2 linked regions of the Xenopus tropicalis genome follow. The protein of the gene in region 1 purifies or fractionates together with the protein of each later gene. This does not show direct contact. Links are inferred from orthologs where the notes say so. Each region holds a gene or a part of one and is shown on either strand. Other genes may lie near its edges.

Region 1 (7,889 bases):
ATATAAAGTTCATATTCAGTTATAATATTCATGCTCCCTCAAAATGTGAAATGATACAGAAAGAAAGATGTTGGGAAAGTATTTTAGCTCCTAAAACTGTCATTATATGAGAGCTGCATAGACAACCTCTCAAGTCAGAAGCCAGAGCAAAATGAAACATGGGAGTGCCGCTTCAGTCTCCCACAGGAAGTGGTCACAGCACTGACTGACAGGCTTTACTCAACAGTAGCAGGGAAAACCCCTCCCAGTTTCCTTCTTCCATGTCTCTCCGCTTGTGCTGCCGCCGGGGGTGCGGAGCGAGTACAGCAGGAACGCATACCCCCCAACTGTCCCGCTTTTCGCGGGACAGTCCCGCTTTTTATGGCGCGTCCCGCTGTCCCGGATAGTTCCATGAATGTCCCGCATTGCGGGACATTCATGGAACTATCCGGCACAGCGGGATGCCCTTGCTGTACCGGATGTTCACGCTTTGTCTGCGGCTTCTTTATGCCTCTCCTTGTGCAGCGCGACAGTCCCTTTTATAAGGTTGCGCCTGTGGGTGTGACGTCATTACGCACGGGGCGCAACCTTATAAAAGGGCCTGTCGCGCAGCGCAAGGAGAGGCATAAAGAAGCCGCAGACAAAGGCGGAGCGCCTATGGGAGGTACTGTGATAGGGGGACACTGTGTATAGGGGGCTACTGTGATAGGGGGACACTGTGTATTGGGGGCTACTGTGATAGGGGGCTACTGTGTATTGGGGCACTGTGTATTGGGGGGCTACTGTGTATAGGGGCACTGTGTATTGGGGGGCTACTGTGTATAGGGGCACTGTGTATTGGGGGGCTACTGTGTATAGGGGCACTGTGTATAGGGGCACTGTGTATTGGGGGCTACTGTGTATAGGGGGCACTGTGTATGGGGGGTACTGTGTATGGGAGACTACTGTGTATTGGGGGCTACTGTGTATTGGATGGTACTGTGTATGGGGGTACTGTGTAGGGGGGGGCTACTGTGTATGGGGGCTACTGTGTATGGGGCGGGCTACTGTGTATGGGGGGGGCTACTGTGTATGGGGAGGGCTACTGTGTATGGGGGGGCTACTGTGTATGGGGGGCTACTGTGTATGGGGCTGGCTACTGTGTATGGGGGGGGCTACTGTGTATGGGGCGGGCTACTGTGTATGGGGCGGGCTACTGTGTATGGGGGGCTACTGTGTATGGGGGGGCTACTGTGTATGGGGGGCTACTGTGTATGGGGGGGCTACTGTGTATGGGGGGGCTACTGTGTATGGGGGGCTACTGTGTATGGGGGGGCTACTGTGTATGGGGGGCTACTGTGTATGGGGGGGCTACTGTGTATGGGGGGGCTACTGTGTATGGGGGGATACTGTGTATGGGGCGGGCTACTGTGTATGGGGGGCTACTGTGTATGGGGGGAAAAACTGGTACTTAGCTATAACTCACTTATAACTGACTGCCTTCTCTCTATATTTGTATTTTAATGTAGGAGTTGCTGTATTGTTTTCCTTAGGTCGTTCAGTATGAGGGTATAGCACATTTTCGTCTGCTCCCGCCATTTGATCTATATAAAAGGGGTATTTTTTTTAAAATGGGGTGTGGTAATTGGGGCGTGACCACAAAAGGGGGCGTGGTCAAAAAATTGCCGCGCTGCGCGCGCCAAATCTTTTTGTCCCTCTTTTCATTTTTCAAATGTTGGGAGGTATGGGAACGGACTGCCTGTGACATTGCAAAGCCCACCCACCTCACTGCACTTTATGTAGCTGCTGCTCTGTTACTGAAGTCTATTAGGGCCAGCACAGCCATATACTGAAGAGTCTAAGGGCAGCACCACACAGGGAGATTAGTTACTGTACGACAAATCTTCGTTGTCGCAGGCGACTAATCTCCCCGCAATGCCATCCCAACGGCTAGAAAAAGTAAATAGCTGATGGAATGGCATACGCTACGCTGCAATTTGCCTAAGTCGCCTGAAGGCAACTTCAGCAAATAGCGGCGCCAGATGGAATTGCGGGGAGATTAGTCGCCCACGACAACGGAGATTTGTCACGGTGTGACTAATCTCTCCCGTGTACCCCTGCCCTAAACCGGAAGCTTGCAAAAGGTCTGGGTAGAGCACAGTTTTCAAGCAGTTATGGACATATTTGAACCTAAAGATATTAAAATAAAAGCAATTCTATTTTACATTGTGCATTGTAAAAAAATATGGTATATGCCCCCTTTAACAGAGAAACTCAGCTGATTTGAAAATTGCTTAGAAGGGTTGCTAGGCAACGAAGTAACTTCAACTGAGCATGTGCGAGATTTGAGTGCTTACGTTCAAGCAGAGATATACGCAGTAGTGCAGTTTACCTGACCTGTCCAGTGAGGAGGCAGCTTTACTGAATAGCTGCAGCAGCTAACAGACTGGCTGCTGGGCAACGAAGTAACTTCAACTGAGCATGTGCGAGATTTGAGAACTGAAGTTGAAGGAAAGAGATAAGCAGTAGTGCAGAATACCTGACACGTTCAGGAAGTAGGCGGCTCTACTGATCAGCTGCAGCCCCTAACAGAAGCTCGGCTGATAGCAACGTTGTTTAGAAGGGTTGCTATGCAACAAAGTAACTTCAACTGAGCATGTGCGAGATTTGAGAGCTGAAGTAAAGCTATACATAAGATTCCAAGATGTCTGCCACAGATAGGACTGCAGTGAAGATAGGGGAGTTTTTGCAGAAGGTATAGTGAACTGATGCTTTACATTATACAAACAGTTCTGTTTTGAAAATCGGATTTCTTGAACTTTAACATAGTGTCTTTACTTAGTAAATCATTTTTGTGATGTTTGGTGCACTTTAAGTCAAGATGGTTTGCTGTGGTTTTGATTATCTGCTGCTTTGCTGTGTTAAAGGGATAAAGTCATCACATAATGACCTACTTTTATAACAATAGCATTTTGCTTTAAATGCAGGATTTAAAACATAGTTTTATGTTGCTAAAGATTCTGTGTATTTACATCCTTAGATGCATTCATTCTGAATCACTGTGCAACACATGTGAGTTGGCATGTAACATGATGGAACACATATATTGCATGTGCTGTGACACGGTTTCCTCTAACGCTCTGTTTCGCCCTCACCCATGTAGGACAGGTAGAGAAAATATAGTGTCCCTCGGGCAATGATGGATTCACATGGGGCATTTGTTTGTGTATTAAAACTGACAAACAATCCACCTTTTCCCAATGGGCAGTATCATGTATCACACCTATGACAATGAACTGCCTACTGCTTCATGATTTAGCTTGCACTTTTTTTCCATATACTTCATATATATTTTTACTTCTCTAAGAAGCTGCACAAAAGAGGCTGCTGACATACATCACATTACATTTACCTAACAGCGAACCTTCCTCCAACCTGATAAAATGCTACTCAGTAAAGCAATTCCAATGCACTTTGTATTAAAGAGATCAGCAGCAGCAGCTCCCCTTTTGCAGCTTCCCAGCAGAAGTAGGTTAAAAAGACTGCACACAATATCATTAAACAATAAGCAATACAGTGTCCTTGCTGTGAACAGACCCATGCTTAAAGGAGACATATCCTATAAAAATTATGAATGTACCAGTGAATTATACTCCTCTAGATACAGAAGGATTGTGCTTTAAAAAGTTGTGTTTCTGACTGATTTATTGAGAAATTCCACAAAAACACCACTAGTCCCGCCCATCTGTTCCACTTCCTGCTGGCTGAATTCTCTGGATGAGCTGGGGAGCCGGCAGCCCTCCGTACCCTGCACTGTACTGTAGGATAGGAACCAATCAGCAGCTAGGCTGACCTGATAGGGAACTGAAGCCTGTCTTTGCTTGTGTGAGTGCAGGGCTGTGATTGGCTCTCCCCCTCCTACTGTGCTTCTGGCAGGGACCGTTAGGACACGCCCACTCTTCATTTCAAACTGGATGGAGAAGTGATAGGATCTATATGGAGCTCCAATAAAGGGGCCATTTTTACAGAGAGGATTAATTTTTAGCACAAAGTGAAACCAGCACTGTATATTATTCATAATTGCCTACAAAATAAGCGTTTTTCCCCATTTATCCAATATGTCTCCTTTAATACATTTCGCAAAAGCAAATGAAAGAGCTAGGTGTTACACATTCCAGTTTATTGATAGCTATGGGTGCTATGGGTGAAGTGTTACAAGCTCCATACATGGGAGAGGTGTGGGCCAAAATTGTTTTAATCACAGTTTGAATAATCTGGTGTGATTTACACACACCTGGCTAGTAGGTTAACAATAACAATAGCATGTCCTGATTTTTTTGCCCATATTAACCCTTTTACTGCCAGCCATTTTGGTCAAAGCGGAACTTGTATTGCCAGACAGTTTTTGAACATTTTGCACTGTTTCACTTTAGGGGCCTTTCCTCGGGGGGACTTTTAGTTTACCAAGGAAAACAATATATCGTTTTTTTCAGAACAACCTAAGCTTTCAAAATATGGTAGAATTTTTGTGTAATTCCAATTCTGTAACAAGATATAGGCTTCTAAATCAAATTTTCCATAATATAATCACACATACTAGAAACAAAAATTATTTTATGCACGAATATACAACTGATTTGGAAAGTCCCATGTCTCCTGAACGTGCCAATACCAAATATATATAGTTTTATGGAGATTTCTCACTTGTATAGGTCAAAAACTCCCAGCAGTACACTACCAAATTCCCAAAGCACTGCTCCAAAAAAACTGCATACTTTGGATTTCAAGGCCAAAATTCCACTAACAGAAGGTTTATCCCAGAAAATTGTACATTTTTGGAAAGAACAGATTCTGGGGAATACAGAATAGGCACAACTGTCTGTCTACTCCAAACTATCAAGTCGCAATGCTTTCCTAAAGTTATTGGTTTTTATCAAAATTTGTGATTTTTTTTAAAAATCGCTTCAAAGCTTCTAGTCTATAGTATCTTATCTCCTACAGGTCATAAAGTAACCAAATAAAACACCCTAAATATGAATGCCTGGGGTCCACTGAACAGTTTGATGCCCAATATGTATAGGTTTACCTAAGTATGTGGCATGTAGGGGCCCCAATGTGAACATACCCCATATGAACTGTCATTTCTGTCATTTCAGCTTCTGCAAAATCAACACATTTACATCATTATATGTGGGATGAAGCTAGTAAAAAGTACGCTCACCCCAGAAAGTCATATATTTTTGGAAAGTACACATTCCCCCGAATCTAAAATGGGTACCCATGTCTTTCTACTCCAAAGTACCAAGCCGCACAGCTTTTCTAAAGTTAGCAATTTTGATGACATTTCCAAAAATCCCCTCAAAGCTTCCACTTTGAAGCATCTTATCTCCCACATAGCATTAGGTACCAAGATAAAACACCCTGAATTTGAACGCCAGGGGTCCACTGAACAGTTTGATGCCCAATATGTATAGGTTTACCTAAGTATGTGGCATGTAGGGGCCCCAATGTGAACATACCCCCATATGAACTGTCATTTCTGTCATTTCAGCTCCTGCAAAATCAACACATTTACATTATTATATGTGGGATAAAGCTACAAAAAAGTACGCTCACCCCAGAAAGTCATATATTTTTGGAAAGTACACATTCCCCCGAATCTAAAATGGGTACCCATGTCTTTCTACTCCAAAGTACCAAGCCGCACAGCTTTTCTAAAGTTAGCAATTTTGATGACATTTCCAAAAATCCCCTCAAAGCTTCCAATTTGAAGCATCTTATCTCCCACATAGCATTAGGTACCAAGATAAAACACCCTGAATTTGAACACCAGGGGTCCACTGAACAGTTTGATGCCCAATATGTATAGGTTTACCCAAGTATGTGGCATGTAGGGGCCCGAATGTGAACATACCCCCATATATACTGTCATTTCTGTCATTTCAGCTTCTGCAAAATCAACACATTTACATCATTATATGTGGGATAAAGCTAGTAAAAAGTATGCTCACCCCAGAAAGTCATATATTTTTGGAAAGTACACATTCCCCCGAATCTAAAATGGGTACCTATGTCTTTCTACTCCAAAGTACCAAGCCGCACAGCTTTTCTAAAGTTAGCAATTTTGATGACATTTCCAAAAATCCCCTCAAAGCTTCCACTTTGAAGCATCTTATCTCCCACATAGCATTAGGTACCAAGATAAAACACCCTGAATTTGAACGCCAGGGGTCCACTAAACAGTTTGATGCCCAATATGTATAGGTTTACCTAAGTATGTGGCATGTAGGGGCCCCAATGTGAACATACCCCCATATGAACTGTCATTTCTGTCATTTCAGCTCCTGCAAAATCAACACATTTACATTATTATATGTGGGATAAAGCTACAAAAAAGTACGCTCACCCCAGAAAGTCATATATTTTTGGAAAGTACACATTCCCCCGAATCTAAAATGGGTACCCATGTCTTTCTACTCCAAAGTACCAAGCCGCACAGCTTTTCTAAAGTTAGCAATTTTGATGACATTTCCAAAAATCCCCTCAAAGCTTCCACTTTGAAGCATCTTATCTCCCACATAGCATTAGGTACCAAGATAAAACACCCTGAATTTGAACACCAGGGATCCACTGAACAGTTTGATGCCCAATATGTATAGGTTTACCCAAGTATGTGGCATGTAGGGGCCCGATGGTGAACATACCCCCATATATACTGTCATTTCTGTCATTTCAGCTCCTGCAAAATCAACACATTTACATCATTATATGTGAGATAAAGCTACAAAAAAGTACGCTCACCCCAGAAAGCCATATATTTTTGGAAAGTACACATTCCCCCGAATCTAAAATGGGTACCCATGTCTTTCTACTCCAAAGTACCAAGCCGCACAGCTTTTCTAAAGTTAGCAATTTTGATGACATTTCCAAAAATCCCCTCAAAGCTTCCATTTTGAAGCATCTTATCTCCCACATAGCATTAGGTACCAAGATAAAACACCCTGAATTTGAACGCCAGGGGTCCACTGAACAGTTTGATGCCCAATATGTATAGGTTTACCTAAGTATGTGGCATGTAGGGGCCCCAATGTGAACATACCCCCATATATACTGTCATTTCTGTCATTTCAGCTCCTGCAAAATCAACACATTTACATCATTATATGTGGGATAAAGCTACAAAAAAGTACGCTCACCCCAGAAAGTCATATATTTTTGGAAAGTACACATTCCCCCGAATCTAAAATGGGTACCCATGTCTTTCTACTCCAAAGTACCAAGCCGCACAGCTTTTCTAAAGTTAGCAATTTTGATGACATTTCCAAAAATCCCCTCAAAGCTTCCACTTTGCAGCATCTTATCTCCCACATAGCATTAGGTACCAAGATAAAACACCCTGAATTTGAACACCAGGGGTCCACTGAACAGTTTGATGCCCAATATGTATAGGTTTACCCAAGTATGTGGCATGTAGGGGCCCGAATGTGAACATACCCCCATATATACTGTCATTTCTGTCATTTCAGCTCCTGCAAAATCAACACATTTACATCATTATATGTGAGATAAAGCTACAAAAAAGTACGCTCACCCCAGAAAGCCATATATTTTTGGAAAGTACACATTCCCCCGAATCTAAAATGGGTACCCATGTCTTTCTACTCCAAAGTACCAAGCCGCACAGCTTTTCTAAAGTTAGCAATTTTGATGACATTTCCAAAAATCCCCTCAAAGCTTCCATTTTGAAGCATCTTATCTCCCACATAGCATTAGGTACCAAGATAAAACACCCTGAATTTGAACGCCAGGGGTCCACTGAACAGTTTGATGCCCAATATGTATAGGTTTACCTAAGTATGTGGCATGTAGGGGCCCCAATGTGAACATACCCCCATATATACTGTCATTTCTGTCATTTCAGCTCATGCAAA
Region 2 (7,284 bases), on another chromosome or scaffold:
TTAGTAACACAGCCACTAACTTTGAGTCTCCTGCTGATGTCAGCAATTGTTTTGGTTGTTCTCTTCCTCCCTCATTCCCACACATTCCTCTGAGTTGTACGGTAAATGGTTGTATACATTAAAATACAGAAAGATATACGAAAAAAACTACCAATACAAGAGGTAAAAAGGATCCTGTCTGAAAGAGCTAACAATTATATTTGATGGTTGTACTTAGATATATTTACCTTTTTTGTTAATTAGGGCTCAAGTTTGATGTATGAAGTTGACGTTCCTGGACCTCCGTCTATTTTGGCTTTGAACAATGGAAATGGGGGTGAGAATTTTGTGTATTTATTGTGCGAACAGGGAGATTTGTTTTGGGGGCGACTAATCTCCCCTTGTGCCAGAGCCCTAAGGCTATGGTTACAGGTAACTGTTTATGCTCAGCCAAACCACTTGCCTCAGCCCACTTCACTGTCTACACTAGCAGATTTATCTGCTTTAACAGGGGGCCATTTATAAACACTGGGCAAATTTGCACCTAAGCAGTAACTCATGACAACATCTGATTGGTGGCTACGGTTTACTGCCCACGTACAGATTTGCCCAGTGCTTATTAGAAAAGCCCCACGGAGCGGATTTTGGTGCTAAAGTGCATGCTCATGCATTTCCAAGTTTAGTGATGGGCGAAATAATTCGCCAGGCATGGATTCGCGCTGAATTTTGACGTTTCAACATCGGTGGATTATCTTGTGAAACAAAATTTGCTGTGAGACAAAAAATTGTCGTGCACGTAAAAAAAAATGCTCATGTATTGTTAAAAAACTGCAATCTTATTCTTTTGTATTAAGGTGAAAGTGGGGAAGAACTTTTATACGGCACATCGGATGGTAAAATTGGATTAATTCATATTGCAATGAATACTCCGATTCCCAAGTGGGAAATTCCAAATGAGAAAAAGAGGGGAGGTGAGTTTACTGAATTTATGTACTTTAGATTTAACTAATTTGTATATTCACCAGCCATCCATCCTGCAGTCTCCAGTTGTTAAAGGGATCCTGTCATGATTTTTATGGAGTAGTTTTTATTTCTAAATTACACTGTTTACATAGCAAATAATTCACTCTACAATTTAAAGTTACATTCTAGAACCAACAAATGTATTTTTTTAGTTGTAATATTGGTGTGTAGGCAGCCATCTCAGTGCATTGTGCCTGAGTCTGAGCTTTCAGAAGGAGCCAGCGCTACACATTAGAAATGCTTTCAGATTGTTTCTCTTACTCCCATGTAACTGGAGGAGTCCCAAGCCAGACTTGGATTTCTTACTATTGAGTGCTATTCTGATATCTACTGGGAGCTGCTATCTTGCTACCTTCCCATTGTTCTGCTGATTGACTGTTGGGGAGGGGCAAAATCTGGTTGCATTTTTGAAAAACGGATTTCAGTGCCGGATTCTGCTGGAAAAGCTCTATTAACTGATGCGTTTTGAAAAAAAACTGTTTTCACATGACAGTATTCCTTTAAACAATTGTCATTATATCCTAATAGGTCATAGCAAGAAAATAAAAATGTAAAAATAGCTATTTCAATTGTAAGACTTATTCCAGGCATGTACATAATGGTAGCTGAACAGCAAAAAAACATACTTTAGACCAATTATTTCTAGACACAGGAGGCAGTTGCTAAATAAATCTCTCCTGGAAAATGTTTCCTTTCCAGGTTGAGTAGGACAGAAGACACCTGCTAAGCATTGCTGAGAACTTTTCACCACAGTTTCAACAAAAACTAAACCTCCCCCAGACACTGCCATCTAATGAGCCCCCTTCCTGCTCCTTCCCCGCAGGGTCAGTGAACAGTGTCTGATAGTAATGCTGACCTATACAAGCAGAAAAGCACAGCAGAGCTAGCAGGCACCATCTCCTTAATGTTCAGGCATCCATTTGGCATGAGGGAGCTTGCTGGCGCTCTGTGTCACTGAATTGATCCAATGAGAACATAAAGATTCAGAGGATGGCATTTATAAATGGGATTGTATCACTTGCAGATATTGAATAACCATTGAACTCTTATGTTGTTAATTATATAGTACTGGGGATAATCAAGCAGTAAACTTTAGTTAAACTAATGCACATTTCTCATATATATTTTTTAATTTGGATATATTCGTCTGTTAGGCATCCTATGCATTGATAGCTTTGATATTATTGGAGATGGAGTAAAGGACATGCTTATAGGCCGTGACGACGGCACAGTGGAAGTGTATGGCTATGACAGTGCCAATGAACCTGTCCTCCAATATGACCATGTAAGTTAGCATCTCTATAAAAAATATTTTATATAAATCTAAAATAATTCCAAATTTGCTTCTTTTCTTAATTTTATCTGAAGCAGTTTTGATCATTTTAAAGCAGTTGTGTAATTGAAAGTCTTCCTAGTCTTTGACAGAAAGCATAACATCAATCCAAGGAGGCTGTGTTGGGAAGGACGGCTATGATGAAATAGTGTTATCCACATATTCTGGTAAGGCTGACTTACAACTCCTCTGTTAACTTAGCAAATAGCTGTGGACTGTAAGCACTTCACAGAATTTTCCTTGGACATGCAGCATTTAGGTATTTCAGAGGCATTAAAGCACAAAAAATACCCTGATTCAACGGTGATGCATATATGTTAGGCTGCTTTTTCCCTGGCAAAGCACAAACCTGGGATAAGAACTTAGTGATTTGATTCAATAGGGGGTGCAAACATATTAGCAGCCCGCTGATTTAATTGGGTTTCCTTGTCCGGTTAATGATAGAAGGGCATAGGAATGCCTTCTGAGTCATTATAAATATGTACATGTATGTGTCCATGTATGGCAATAAGTGCAGCATTTTTATGTTCACTCCATGCTAGCTCTTTTTTTTTTTTTTTTTTTTCAATTAGAGATTGTCATATTGTTACCAAGTAGAAATAAAATTTATAGCTACAACTGTTAAATGGTAACATTGTTTCACCATTAATAATAATAATAAAAGTTACATTATTTTATTTTCATTGTTTCCTGGTATTTATATAGTATTGACACATTTACACAGTGCTTTATAGAGATTATACATCATTCACATCAGTCAGTTTATTACATAAATTAACCTGTCTATATGTATTTGAAATGTGGGAGGAAACCCAACCAGATATGGGGAGAACATACAAACCTCTTTTAGTGCCCAAGCTGAAATTGAACTCAGGACCCCAGTGCTACCAAGAGAGCTAATGTGCTGCTTCCTATAAAAACAAACCAATAATGTAGCCCACAGCAAAAATAACACTAGATACACATATTTGGCCTAACACATTTCATGCTTCTTGTGTATTACAAATTTGTGATTGGGTGGGGTACTTTTAGTACATTAGTTTCATTGCCTCAGCACACTATTCACTTGTATATCAGTATATCATTTATTGGCTTGTTGACAGCTGCCTTGAACTTTATTTCTATTTCATAAATATAACTTTCAGTTATATTGGGTTTTTGGAGTCTTGACTGGGTATTCTGTTTTTTGTAGGATGGGTGACTGGACTCACCACCGAGCCTATACATAAAGAAGCTGGTCCCGGGCAAGAGTTAAAAATGAGCCAGGATATGCAAAACAAAATTGCTTCATTAAGGTAGTTATCTTCCAACTATGTTTTGTATGAAATTGTAGCATTATATTCCTTTTGTAGTTTTTTTCCCTGTAAAATGTTAGTTTAAGGTGAGCATTTTTCTGAGAAGCACCTGTGCCTGTGGTTTCCTGCAAGCCTTAAAAGGAAGCAATAGAGGGTGATTTGGGGTGAAATCACTTGATGTGCTGTTGCCATTAGTTTAAAGCTATCTTTAATCACCACAGCAGTGTGCAATAGAACAGCTGGTTACCATTTACAAAGAGTAGTAAAGTAATGTTTTGGGTTTTTTTTTAGTGGGCACATGTTTCTGCTAGGTTCATTCTATCTGCCACCAGGCTTATTTTGTACAGAATTGTGTGTGTGTGTGTATATATAAATATATATATATATATATAATATAAAAAAACTAATAATAAAAAGTTATTGTGAGGGAATCTAATAAGGCCTTTAGTTTGAGACTTTGATTGAGATTTCCGTTTATGTTCTTTAATTTCCCTGTGTGGTTTGATATTTGGCTGCTGCACTACTTACTACCTTATAAAATGAGGGAGGGCCCTGTCCTGCTGCTCTTGTGTTGTTTATTAATAAGTATATTTTGATATATATTTTTATTTACCAGGACTGTTTAATGATTATTTTCAGAGAACTATAAGAAATTGTTAAAGGTGCATTTACTCAGCAATTTGCTGTATATAATTGCTATTCTCAGCTTTTAATATCATGCTGTGAATAAGAAGTATATTGATTATATGGGTTGTATTGAGTAAATTTAATGCTTGTTACTAATGGGGCAAACTGCAAAATTGAAGTGTTTATTCCTAGAATTATCTCTTTATAAATGCCATGCAAGTACAGCAAGTACAGCCATGTTATGGTTGTATTGATCGCAGTTGCACTGAAATTTAATTACCAGCAAACAAAATCAAGATGTATTAGTAGATAACCCAACAGCAGATAGCAGTAGATAACCCCAAAAAAGGTTAAATTCATATACCAGTTTCTCCATGAAGTAAATGATACAGTTGCTTCTGTCTGTATAGGTCTGAACTGGAACAGTTGCAGTTTAAGGTCCTTCAGGAACGTGACAGGTACCAGCATTCTTCCCAGTCAGTTACTGCTGTGTCTGCTGTGCCTGTCTTCAGCATCAATGACAAATTCACCTTAAACCAAGATGATGCCAGCTACAGCCTTATTCTGGAAGTACAGATGGCCATTGACAATGTACTGATACAGGTATTATACACAAATCCAATATATCTGTCTTTTTATATCTTACTTTGTACATTACACCTATATAGTGTGGGTTGGAGTTAAAAGACTTTCAGCTGTGTATTCTTTTGTTTGGACTGACTGGGTTAAAATGCCTCTAAATCTATGTTCTGCTGTGTTTAAGACAAATACAACCCTACACATACAGTCCTACAAAGATGCTAATTGCTATTGTTTACCAAGATTGAAACATTTTCCACAAATTCCATTGTAATAGCAGGTACCCACAATATGCATGCAATTCAACATGCAAGTGATTTATAAATGCATATGCCAATTAATGTTTGGTTTGATTTGGCAACATTTTTCTTATTGAATTTATTTTTGAATGCCATTTTCAGCTAATTGTGTCCATAATGCCATTATCACACAAATCACTTGTATAAGTAGCTGCAACAAGCTAAAAGAACCTTCTTAAAAGGGTAGTTCACCTTCAAGTTAACTTAATGTATGTTATAGAATGGGCAGTTTTTAGCAAGTTTTCAATTGGTCTTTAATTTTTTTTTTTTTTTTTCTAGTTTATAAATTATTTGACTTTCAAGCTTTCAGTCACTGATATTGATAAATTATAGTGCTGTTAGGCTACAATTTTATTGTCACAGTCATTTTTTTATTACTTATCATTTTATACAAACCTTCTATTCATATTCCGGTGTCTAATTCAAAGAACTGCCTGTTTGCTAGGGTAATTTGGACCTTAGCCACTCTATAGTTGCTGGAATCTCAAACTGGAGAGAAAGCTGCAGACCAGTTACATATTGTCTCTGAATATTATTCTCTAAATCATACTAAAATTTAATTCAAAGTAAACAATCCATTTAAAGGAGAAGTTAATTCTAGAACTTGTGATTTATACATATGCACAATTAATCAGCAGGTGCTTTTTGTAAGGAGAGTTTCTGGGCACAATAAGCCATGTTTGTAGCACCCAAAGTTGCACTTCTATGACTAAATGAGCCTCCAGATCTACAGTACTGGAGCAACATCACTGCAAGGTGTTAATGTCTAGCTAGTTTTTAAAGCAGCTGGAGAATAGCTGGTGTTATTTATTATTCAGCTTATGGGGGATGTTGAGTGTGGGGTAGGGGTGGCTGCAGTAACTACTTATGGATAACTTAAAAACTGAGGAATATCTAATGCGTTATATTTGAACATTTTTACTTTACATCTAAGATGTTTGCACTATAATTTATTGTTTGTTATAATTCCCCTTTATGTTCTTATAAAGGGGTTGTTTACCTTTGTACAACATTCACAAATGTGAAACAGTTCACATGAATAGAATAATCTTTGCTATATACATAAAAATGTGCATCTGAAAACATATCATCTCAGAATCATCCCACTGCTGTACCTTCACTTCTGCACTAGTTGCTATTTCACTTCCTTATATGATGCCACACATAGTACTGGCAGCAGATTCTTATTGGATGTGTCTCCTGTCAGTCTGACACTGCTTCCTGTGCCTGTGGCAGAATGCTGCAAGTCTTACACAACAGCATGTTAGATTTGTTAAATGCTGAGTCTGTTTGCCTATGCCATTGCAAGAGAGAAATTAACCAATGACTTTTCAACTTATGTAACTGGTTAGAGTGCAACCAATGAATTAGTCCAGTAGAAAAAAAAGAGGGCAAAGCCCGGACATGATGGTGTAAGCATATAGGAAGTTCTAAGTGTGTCAGGTTCAAAATAGATTAAACAGTGGCCTTTTTACTTTTTTTGTGGAAAATGGATTTTCTAACCTGCTGAGAGCATTGTTGGTGGTTTAAAATTATTTGGACATTGAAGGTGAACAACCCCTTTTAAATATTATATATATGGTTTGGTTGTAGCTACTACTTGAACAGGAAAATCTAACCTGTGAACTACTGTTCTGCCAATAAGTACATATTATGTATTCAATGCACATTTACTGGCATAGTATTTAATCTGAATGCCTGAGACAGCCTCTATACAGGCAGCTTCTTATTTGCTTTAGTGAGAGTATAAAACAGGAAGAAAGATATGTAGATTACCGGCATCAGTGCAGTCATTTTAATATATACAAATTGCCTTCAACATTGCAGCAACATGTTTTAAGGTTTATTTATTATATAAGGTTTGGTTTCTCTTCAAGGTGATCTTTACATGGCAATTAAACCTCAAATGTGGTTAAAAAAAATAGCCAAATCAATAGTATTGTGAATCCACAGTAAGAATAGATGTTTTTCAGCCTGTGGAGTGGAGTGAGAGGTATCACAGTGCTCATGATATTGATGTTTACAGAGTGACGTCCCTGTGGATCTGCTGGATGTCGACAAGAATTCAGCTGTGGTCAGCTTCAGCGGCTGTGATAATGAGGTGAGAAGTACTTGTGCGAGGATCTAAGAGGCATCTTCATTTAAACCC

The links. Proteins that work in one complex are often made in the same cells at the same time.
Region 2: the proteins of lztfl1 (region 1) and bbs7 purify together in Homo sapiens (affinity purification with mass spectrometry; 3 studies listed by BioGRID and IntAct, counting the BioPlex papers as one, with this or other methods). This does not show direct contact. The link is inferred for Xenopus tropicalis from reciprocal best matches to the Homo sapiens genes LZTFL1 and BBS7.

The regions. Positions count from the first base shown.
Region 1 is NC_030682.2:64,756,168-64,764,056, reverse strand, and holds the start of lztfl1 (leucine zipper transcription factor-like protein 1), read left to right. Parts: upstream 1-2,638; 5' UTR 2,639-2,662; coding exon 2,663-2,713; intron 2,714-7,889. UniProt on the Homo sapiens protein: Regulates ciliary localization of the BBSome complex. Together with the BBSome complex, controls SMO ciliary trafficking and contributes to the sonic hedgehog (SHH) pathway regulation. May play a role in neurite outgrowth. May have tumor suppressor function.
Region 2 is NC_030677.2:66,808,928-66,816,211, forward strand, and holds part of bbs7 (Bardet-Biedl syndrome 7 protein), read left to right. Parts: intron 1-243; coding exon 244-316; intron 317-833; coding exon 834-950; intron 951-2,156; coding exon 2,157-2,287; intron 2,288-2,417; coding exon 2,418-2,502; intron 2,503-3,527; coding exon 3,528-3,630; intron 3,631-4,667; coding exon 4,668-4,860; intron 4,861-7,161; coding exon 7,162-7,236; intron 7,237-7,284.